2 linked regions of the Oryctolagus cuniculus genome follow. The main gene of each other region encodes a partner of the protein of the gene in region 2 in a complex. Links are inferred from orthologs where the notes say so. Each region holds a gene or a part of one and is shown on either strand. Other genes may lie near its edges.

Region 1 (3,648 bases), on a different chromosome or scaffold from region 2:
GGAGACAGGGAAGAAGCACCTGGCTCCTGGCTTCGGATCGGTGCAGCACGCTGGCCATAGTGACCATTTGGGGGTGAACCAACAGAAGGAAGACCTTTCTCTCTGTCTCTCTCTCTAACTCTGCCTGTCAAAAAAAAAATTGTGCAACTGAAATGAATGAATTGTATGGGCCAATTAGGTCTTGATAAAACTGGAGTCCCCCAAAAAAGGACTACTCTAGCTGCAGAGAGAGAAGTCTTTCAAGGAGTTTTGCTGAAACAGAGAATAGAAAACTAAGAACAAGCAGTCTGTAAAGAAAGTGGTGTCAAGTGATTATTTTCAGATAGAAATAACAATGTTTTTTATATGATGATGAGAAACATCCTACAGGGAAAATAATGAGACAGGGAAAGGAGGAGGTATTATTGGAATGAATGAATGAATTAATTAATTAATATTGGGGAATCTCAGAATTAAGAGTTCAAACAATTTTTAGTCTCCTTTAAAATAGACTAATAGATACTAAAATGCTAACAAGTACTAGACACAAACTTTGCACTCAGAATTACTTGTAGTAACTTTTGTCCACTTGTCCTACACAAGCTACTGAGTGAAGCTGCAAGCAGGAACTCCAGAATCTGTCCTTTCTTCTATCAGACTTGACTTCTGTTTACCTCCGGCGCAGCCTGCTTTTTGTAGGTATCTGAATCCTCCAAGGTCTGAAAATAGCTGTGCATATATTCTGCAGCTTCCTGCCACTGGTGCTTCAGCAGAGCTTCTTGGATAAAACGTAAACAAGCACTTGTTGTCTGAGCAAAATCCTTCTTCTTTTTCCCTCCGATCACTACAAAGAAGCAAGAGGAGCTTTTACTCACAAGGACTTCAACTATCCAAAAAACTTGCTTCTGATAAGCAGAAGTGCAAACAAGTATTAACAGTAGGAATTACCTGACCCAGCCCATTCCCAGTACTAAAACTAGCTTCACCTGAAACAAATCTTTCCGTACCATATCAACTAGTTTTATCAAATTTAAAAAAATCTAATTAGACATTCTTGGGCCACCAGTCACCAATCCTTCGATCAGATTCAATCTTTTTTTTTTTTTTTGAAAGGCAGAGTTAGACAGTGACAAAGAGAGACACAGAGAAAGGTCTTCCTTTCCGTTGGTTCACTCCCCAAATGGCTGCTATGGCTGGTGGGCTGTGCTGATCCAAAGTCAGGAGCCAGGTGCTTCTTCCCGGTCTCCCATGCGGGTGCAGGGCCCAAGCACTTGGGCCATCCTCCACTGCCTTCCCGGGCCACAGCAGAGAGCTGGACTGGAAGAGGAACAACCGGGACTAGTATCCGGCGCCCTAACCGGGACTAGAACCCAGGGTGCTGGCACCGCAGGCAGAAGATTAGCCTAGTGAGCTGCGGCGCCAGCCCTGATTCAATCATCTTTTTGTCCTTGCACTGAGTAACTGTGGAAAGTCTAACAAAGAGGCCCTCAAAAACACAGCACGGGTACTCAGAGCAAGCAGGTCATTTTAAGAAAGACTACCAATGTCCCAAAAATCCCAAAGGGTATTTTGTTTTTTAAGAACCAAGTTCCCAGGACCAGCTTTTGGTCCCAGTTGCACCACTTCCAATTCCAGCTGCCTGCTAATGTGCATGGGGAAAGCAGCAGCAGATGGCCCAAGTGCTTGGGTCCCTGTACCCACATGGGAGACCCAGATGAATTTCCTAGCTCCTGCCTTCACCCTGGTCCAGCCCTGGTCATTGCAGCCATTTGCGGAGTGAACCAACAGATGGAAGATATTTTTCTTTCTTTTTCCCTCTCTCTGCCTCGCCCTCTCTCCTAATTCTTTCAAACAAATAATCTTAAAAAAAAGGGCCACATTTTCAGTTGTAACAGTTGAAGACAGATTTTTCTATCTCTAAAGCATTAGTAATCCCATCTTAAGAATAGTTAGGCTTGGGGCCAGCACTGTGGCACAGCGGGTTAACACCCTGGCCTAAAGCGCCAGCATCCCATATGGGCGCCGGTTCCAGTCCCAGCTGCTCCACTTCCAATCCAGCTCTCTGCTATGGCCTGGGAAAGCAGTAGAGGATGGCTCAAGTCCTTGGGCCCCCACACCCATGCACCTATGTGGGAGACCTGGAAGAAGCTCCTGGATCCTGGCTTCGGATCAGCCAATTGGGAGTGAACTATCGGATGGAAGACCTCTCTCTCTCTCTCTCTCTCTGCCTCTCCTCTCTCTGTGTAACTCTTTCAAATAAATAAATAAATCTTTAAAAAAAAAAAAAAAAAGAATAGTTAGGCTGGGCTGGCACTGTGGTGTAGTGAGCTAAGCCTCCACCTGCAGGGCCAACATCCCATATGGGCACCAGTTCATGTCCCAGCTGCTCCTTTTCCAATCTAGCTCTCTGCTATGGCCTGGGAAAGCAGTGAAAGATGGCGCTGGCCCCTGTATACAGTTCTAACCTAGATTTGCCTATCTTCAAACTTTTTATTCTAAGGAGCACATCCTTTAAAATGCCAAAAGAATCTCCCAGGATAAAAAATAAGTGTTTGGCAATTTTATTTTCCTATTATGGCTAATTTCTACTACAAGATCACTATTACGTGCAAAATATTTTCTTGGGGCTGGTGCTGTGGTGCAGCGAGTTAAAGCCCTGGCCTGAAGCACCGGCATCCTATATGGGCACCAGTTTGAGACCCAACTGCTCCTCTTCCAATCCAACTCTCTGCTATGGCCTGGGAAAGTAGTAGAGGATGGCCATGTCCTTGGGCTCCTGCACCCATGTGGGAGACCCGGGAGAAGCTCCAGCCGTTGCGGTGAATTGGGGAGTGAACCAGTGGATGGAAGACCTCTCTATCTGTCTCTAACTCTCTCTGTAACTCTGTCTTTCAAATAAATAAAATAAATCTTTAAAAAGACATTTTCTCATAGAAGACGGAAAGTACTTTGGCCGGCACCGTGGCTCACTAGGCTAATCCTCCGCCTTGCGGCGCTGGCACACCGGGTTCTAGTCCCGGTCGGGGCCCCGGATTCTGTCCCGGTTGCCCCTCTTCCAGGCCAGCTCTCTGCTGTGGCCCGGGAGTGCAGTGGAGGATGGCCCAAGTGCTTGGGCCCTGCACCCCATGGGAGACCAGGAGAAGCACCTGGCTCCTGCCTTTGGATCAGCGCGGTGCGCCGGCCGCAGCGCGCCAGCCGTGGCAGCCATTGGAGGGTGAACCAGCGGCAAAGGAAGACCTTTCTCTCTGTCTCTCTCACTGTCCACTCTGCCTGTCAAAAAATAAAAAAGAAAGTACTTTGGATTTAATAGCCTATCCATACATAGCACATGAAACATCTTATGCATGTATACTCTATTTGTCTGCAGATTCGGGATCTACAATAATAGTGACAAAAACATGCCCAGAGATGTCTTAACTAGCACAAGTTCAAATTACTCGTTTCCTACAAGCAATGTGGGAGCATTCCTGCTGAAGTACCAACCATTCAAACCTAACAGATGTGTTAACACAGCAAAAAAAAAATTAACAGAGGAACAGAACTATTCTTTTTCAACAATAACGTGCATGAGGCACTATTCTAGGCACTTAATACATATTAGCTCATTTTTAAATATATCTCAGCATATATTAAAAGCCTTGGCTTTCAAATCACACGTGAGCTTCATTC
Region 2 (4,091 bases):
TAAAATGACATACGTATGCTGACAGCAAACACACTGCTACATTCTGTACCAAAGACACTGGAAATTTCACAAACATCTCATGACACAGTGATTTCCAAGGAATTTATTTAATTAGACTTTCAGAGGGCTCTAAAAATCTGCATTTTTCACAAAGACCCCAGATGATTCTAGGTTCTGCTTGCAAGCATAGTTTAAGAAAGTAATTTTAACCTTCATTTGTGTCACATTACATAAACAATAAAATTAAATTATAAGTCATGTAATCTAACTTCTTTACATTAAAAGATACCTAAATACAATATGGTTCAAAATGAAATCATACGTAGTTCAAAAAGATGCTAAACCAAAAGCCATACAACAATGAGAAACATTAACAGCAAATGCAAGTACAAATGAAGATATTCCTCTGAATGCACATTTCAACGCGCATCAAAGACCACCACTGTATTCATCTGAGTTAAGGAAAAAAAAAATGTAGTTGAAAATTACAGAAAAAGACTGAAGACTTCCAAATCACTTTACATGTGCAACAAGCTAGTTTGTTAATTTAAAATGCACAAAGACCTGGAATTCACTATTTATTACAACAACTAGATATAAAGTAAATAAAAGCTTTCAATTTTTATTAGCACTTTTCCCAACCAATGAAAAAAAACCCAATGTATCAAAAAGCACTGAATGCTAAAGGTAATAACTTGTGATTTTAAAAAAGTTATGTTAGAAAATTACAACTCACTCTCAGTGTTTAGTCTCATGTGTTGGCTCCACTTTTTCCTACTAAGTAGCATACACAATATTTGTATTACTCCTTGTATAATTTATTTGTCAAGCTGAACAATCAGTTCTTATGTAAATACAGAATCTCTGGAAAATAAACTTATGAGAATCAAAATCAACTAGTATTTCAATTATTTAGTGCTTCAGTTCTTGTCTATGAAAAATGCTAATAATATCTCTTTAATTAATCCAAAGTTCTTACGGTTTCTACCAGAAGTAGTGTCTATCAACCCCTGCATCACTCTACAGTTGGCTCCTACCTCAGATTTTAAAAGTAGAGTTAAAGGATACATCTTTTTGTCCTTTTCTTGTACATTATTCTGTATCCACATTCTCTGCATCTGATTGGATCCCTGGATTTTATTTCATTTTCAGTGTGACATTCTAGGGAGAAAAAAAAAAAAAAGGCTTACTCAAATTTAAAAGGAAAACAGTGCAGACAGGCAAATTATCTTAACCATATCAGGCAAGGGTATGATATTACAAAATATACTAAATGGGAAAGAAGAGAGTTGTGGGCAATGCTGTTTTTCCAGAGCAAATAAGAGTTTTAAGTGGTGCTACGAGGCGCTCCTTTATAACTTTAAACACCAATGACTCATTCATTCAAAGGATAAATGTAATAATTTCAAAAACAAATTAAGCAAAATACTCTTACTTTATGTAGCGTTATCCTTACCTCCACAAATATATATCATTGGCTGCTGCTTTGGGGGCTGAACGTCTTTCTGGGCGTCCATTGTCAGTCCCTGCAAACACAGAATCAAATCCTCAGTATTTCAAAGGGGTTCCTCACAAACCCGAACAGCCCTCCCTCCCCTTGTTTTTTCAGGAAAAACTGAAAGAGATCCCAGTTCCCCCTCATCTGCGCTCTTCTCCGTGCCTGGGAGTTAGGTCTAAGGGGCAAACCACACAGACACACACAAGTACTGAGAGTCGACCCCAAACTGGGCACGACAGAAAATGATCCGCATTTTGTTCCTTCATTATAATCTTCACAACAACCCTCAAGTGTCACTCCTGTTTTATACACGAAGAAAGCGAGGCTGAGAGATACTAGTTTGCGCAGGCAAAAGGATTCAGATTCGGCTCAAAACTCGAGTTCTCATCTAACACATGAATATCCCTCCAAAACGGAACAGACTAACCGCCGGGAAGAATACTAAAATAATTCCCAATGGCTAAACAGCTCAACTAAAAGAAACCAGGCAAAGCACTGACGGCACCAACTCCTCCACCAGCATCTCCTGACTCTAACCTCGCACTGGACCTTCTTAGCCCCCAAGTGTCTTTCTGGTTTGGCTCAAATACCCACACCTAAACCCCAGCCCCATAACTCCTTACCTGCGTAGAACGGAGAAACTCCGCATCTGCTCCCAACACGCAGTGTCGCTGTCAACTTCCGGCGCTGGCTTGTGACGCAAGACGAGCACCGCCCCTTCCGCCCCGGCCCGGCCCGGAAACCGAGTTTGCGCAAGACTCTAAAACTAGTTTCTTGCTCGCAACGGACTCTGTGGACATCAAGCACATTTTTTAACACTTAGCTATTCTCATTTTTCAGGAAAGAAAATCATTTTAACAGTTCTTCAAAGGAAGTTTGTATTTCTGACTCGTGAGATTGGCGGAAATGAACGCTTTTCCGGAAGGACCGAGACTAAGAGGGACGGAGGTGACAAGTGCCGGTGGAATCCTGAACGCGCCGTTCCTCTGATGACTTAGACTCGGTTAACCAGTGATTTTTTTTTTTTTTTTTTTTGTTACCCCGTAGAAAAGCACATTCTAGGCTGTTTTCAGGTTGTTGGGTACCTGTGCTGGGGCTGTGTGCCAGCCGCCTCCCGTCCTTGTCATGCTTGATCGTGTTTTTGCTCTCCAGCCCTTTGCTTCTCCCTCGCCTCCACGCCTGTTACTCGTTTTACAGTGCAGGCGCACCTGCGGGGCAGCGCCCTCGACACCTCGCACTTAAAGCTAAAGGATTTTGGTAGCTTTAGCGGTTCACTGGCCCTCCCTTGGTCCCATGTATTCCTAGGAGAAAAAAAAAAAAAAAAAAAAAAGACGTGCTTGTGGGAGTTGCATTCTTTCAAAGAATATTCAGTGGCATAAATGCCGATTAGATTCGAACATTTACATTCATTTACTTCTTTCACAAAAGATATTTTACTTAGAATAGAAGCAGAGCTAAGAAAATGAAATTATTACAACTTTATAGAAATAATTAAAGATTTATTTATTTGAAAGTCAGAGTTACACAGAGAGAGGAGAGGCAGAACCAGAGAGAGAGGGGACTTCCATCTGATGGTTCACTCTCCAATTCGCAGCAACGGCCGGAGCTGCCCGATCTTAAGCCAGGAGCCAGGAGCTTCTTCCTGGTCTCCCATGTGGGTGCAGGGGCCCAAGGACTTGGGCCATCCTCCACTGCTTTCCCGGGCCATAGCAGAGAGCTGGATCAGAAGAGGAGCAGCCAGGACTAGAACCGGCGCCCACATGGGCTGCTGGCGCTTCAGGCCGGGGGTTAACCTGCTGCGCCACGGCTCTGGCCCCAGAAATAATTGTTAACAGTTATTATAAAGTTAATTGTAGAAGCAGGCTTGCTTCCCCCACATGCACTGTGTCTTTGGTATCTTATTAAGTAGGACTCCATCCATCAACTTGAGAACTTTAGCTTCACCTTTCATTTCCAGAAGTTAAAACTGTGTGGTTGCATCTCCACAAACCAACTTGAGACATTCAACTGGGATTTCCCTGTCTTTCCAGGGGGCAGGAGTTTGGCCTAGCCCAGCTCCACTTCTCAATTCCAGCTTCCTGCTGATGGCCGTCCTGGGAGGCAGCAGTTTCTGGCTCAAGTACTTGATTCCCTCCCACCCACATGGGAGAACTGGATTAAGTGACTGGCTCCTGATTTCAACCAGGGCTGTTGTGTGCATTTGGGGAGCGAGCCAGCTGATTCACTCTCTGCCTCTGTGCCTCTGTAATAAAATAATAGTATTAGGGCCAGCATTGCAGTGTGGCAGGTAGGGCCACTGCCTGTGACATCAGCATCCCATATGGGCAGTGGTTCAAGTCTCAACTACTTCTCTTCCAATCCCACTCCCTGCTAGTATGCCTGGGAAGGCAGCAGAGGATGGCCAACTGTTTGGGCCCCTGCACACACGTGTCAGATCCAGAGGAGGCTCCTGACTCCTGGCTTTGGTCTGGCCAAGTCCTGGCCAGTGAGGCCATTTGGGGAGTGAACCAGTGGATGGAAGACACCTCTCTCTCTCTCTCTCTCTCTGCCTTTCAAATAAATAAACATTTTTAAATGGAGATTTTCACATAAA

Evidence for each region. Proteins that work in one complex are often made in the same cells at the same time.
Region 1: POLR2K (region 2) and TAF1A share a complex: the UniProt entries of both Homo sapiens proteins name them as parts of the pol I pre-initiation complex. The link is inferred for Oryctolagus cuniculus from reciprocal best matches to the Homo sapiens genes POLR2K and TAF1A.

The regions. Positions count from the first base shown.
Region 1 is NC_091444.1:36,964,277-36,967,924, forward strand, and holds part of TAF1A (TATA box-binding protein-associated factor RNA polymerase I subunit A), read right to left. Parts: intron 824-3,648; coding exon 654-823; exon of another isoform or gene 549-653; intron 1-548. UniProt on the Homo sapiens protein: Component of the transcription factor SL1/TIF-IB complex, which is involved in the assembly of the PIC (pre-initiation complex) during RNA polymerase I-dependent transcription.
Region 2 is NC_091437.1:125,592,462-125,596,552, reverse strand, and holds POLR2K (DNA-directed RNA polymerases I, II, and III subunit RPABC4), read right to left. Parts: upstream 2,825-4,091; 5' UTR 2,122-2,824; intron 1,527-2,121; 5' UTR 1,518-1,526; coding exon 1,457-1,517; intron 1,162-1,456; coding exon 1,069-1,161; exon of another isoform or gene 1,038-1,068; intron 443-1,037; coding exon 420-442; 3' UTR 89-419; downstream 1-88. UniProt on the Homo sapiens protein: DNA-dependent RNA polymerase catalyzes the transcription of DNA into RNA using the four ribonucleoside triphosphates as substrates.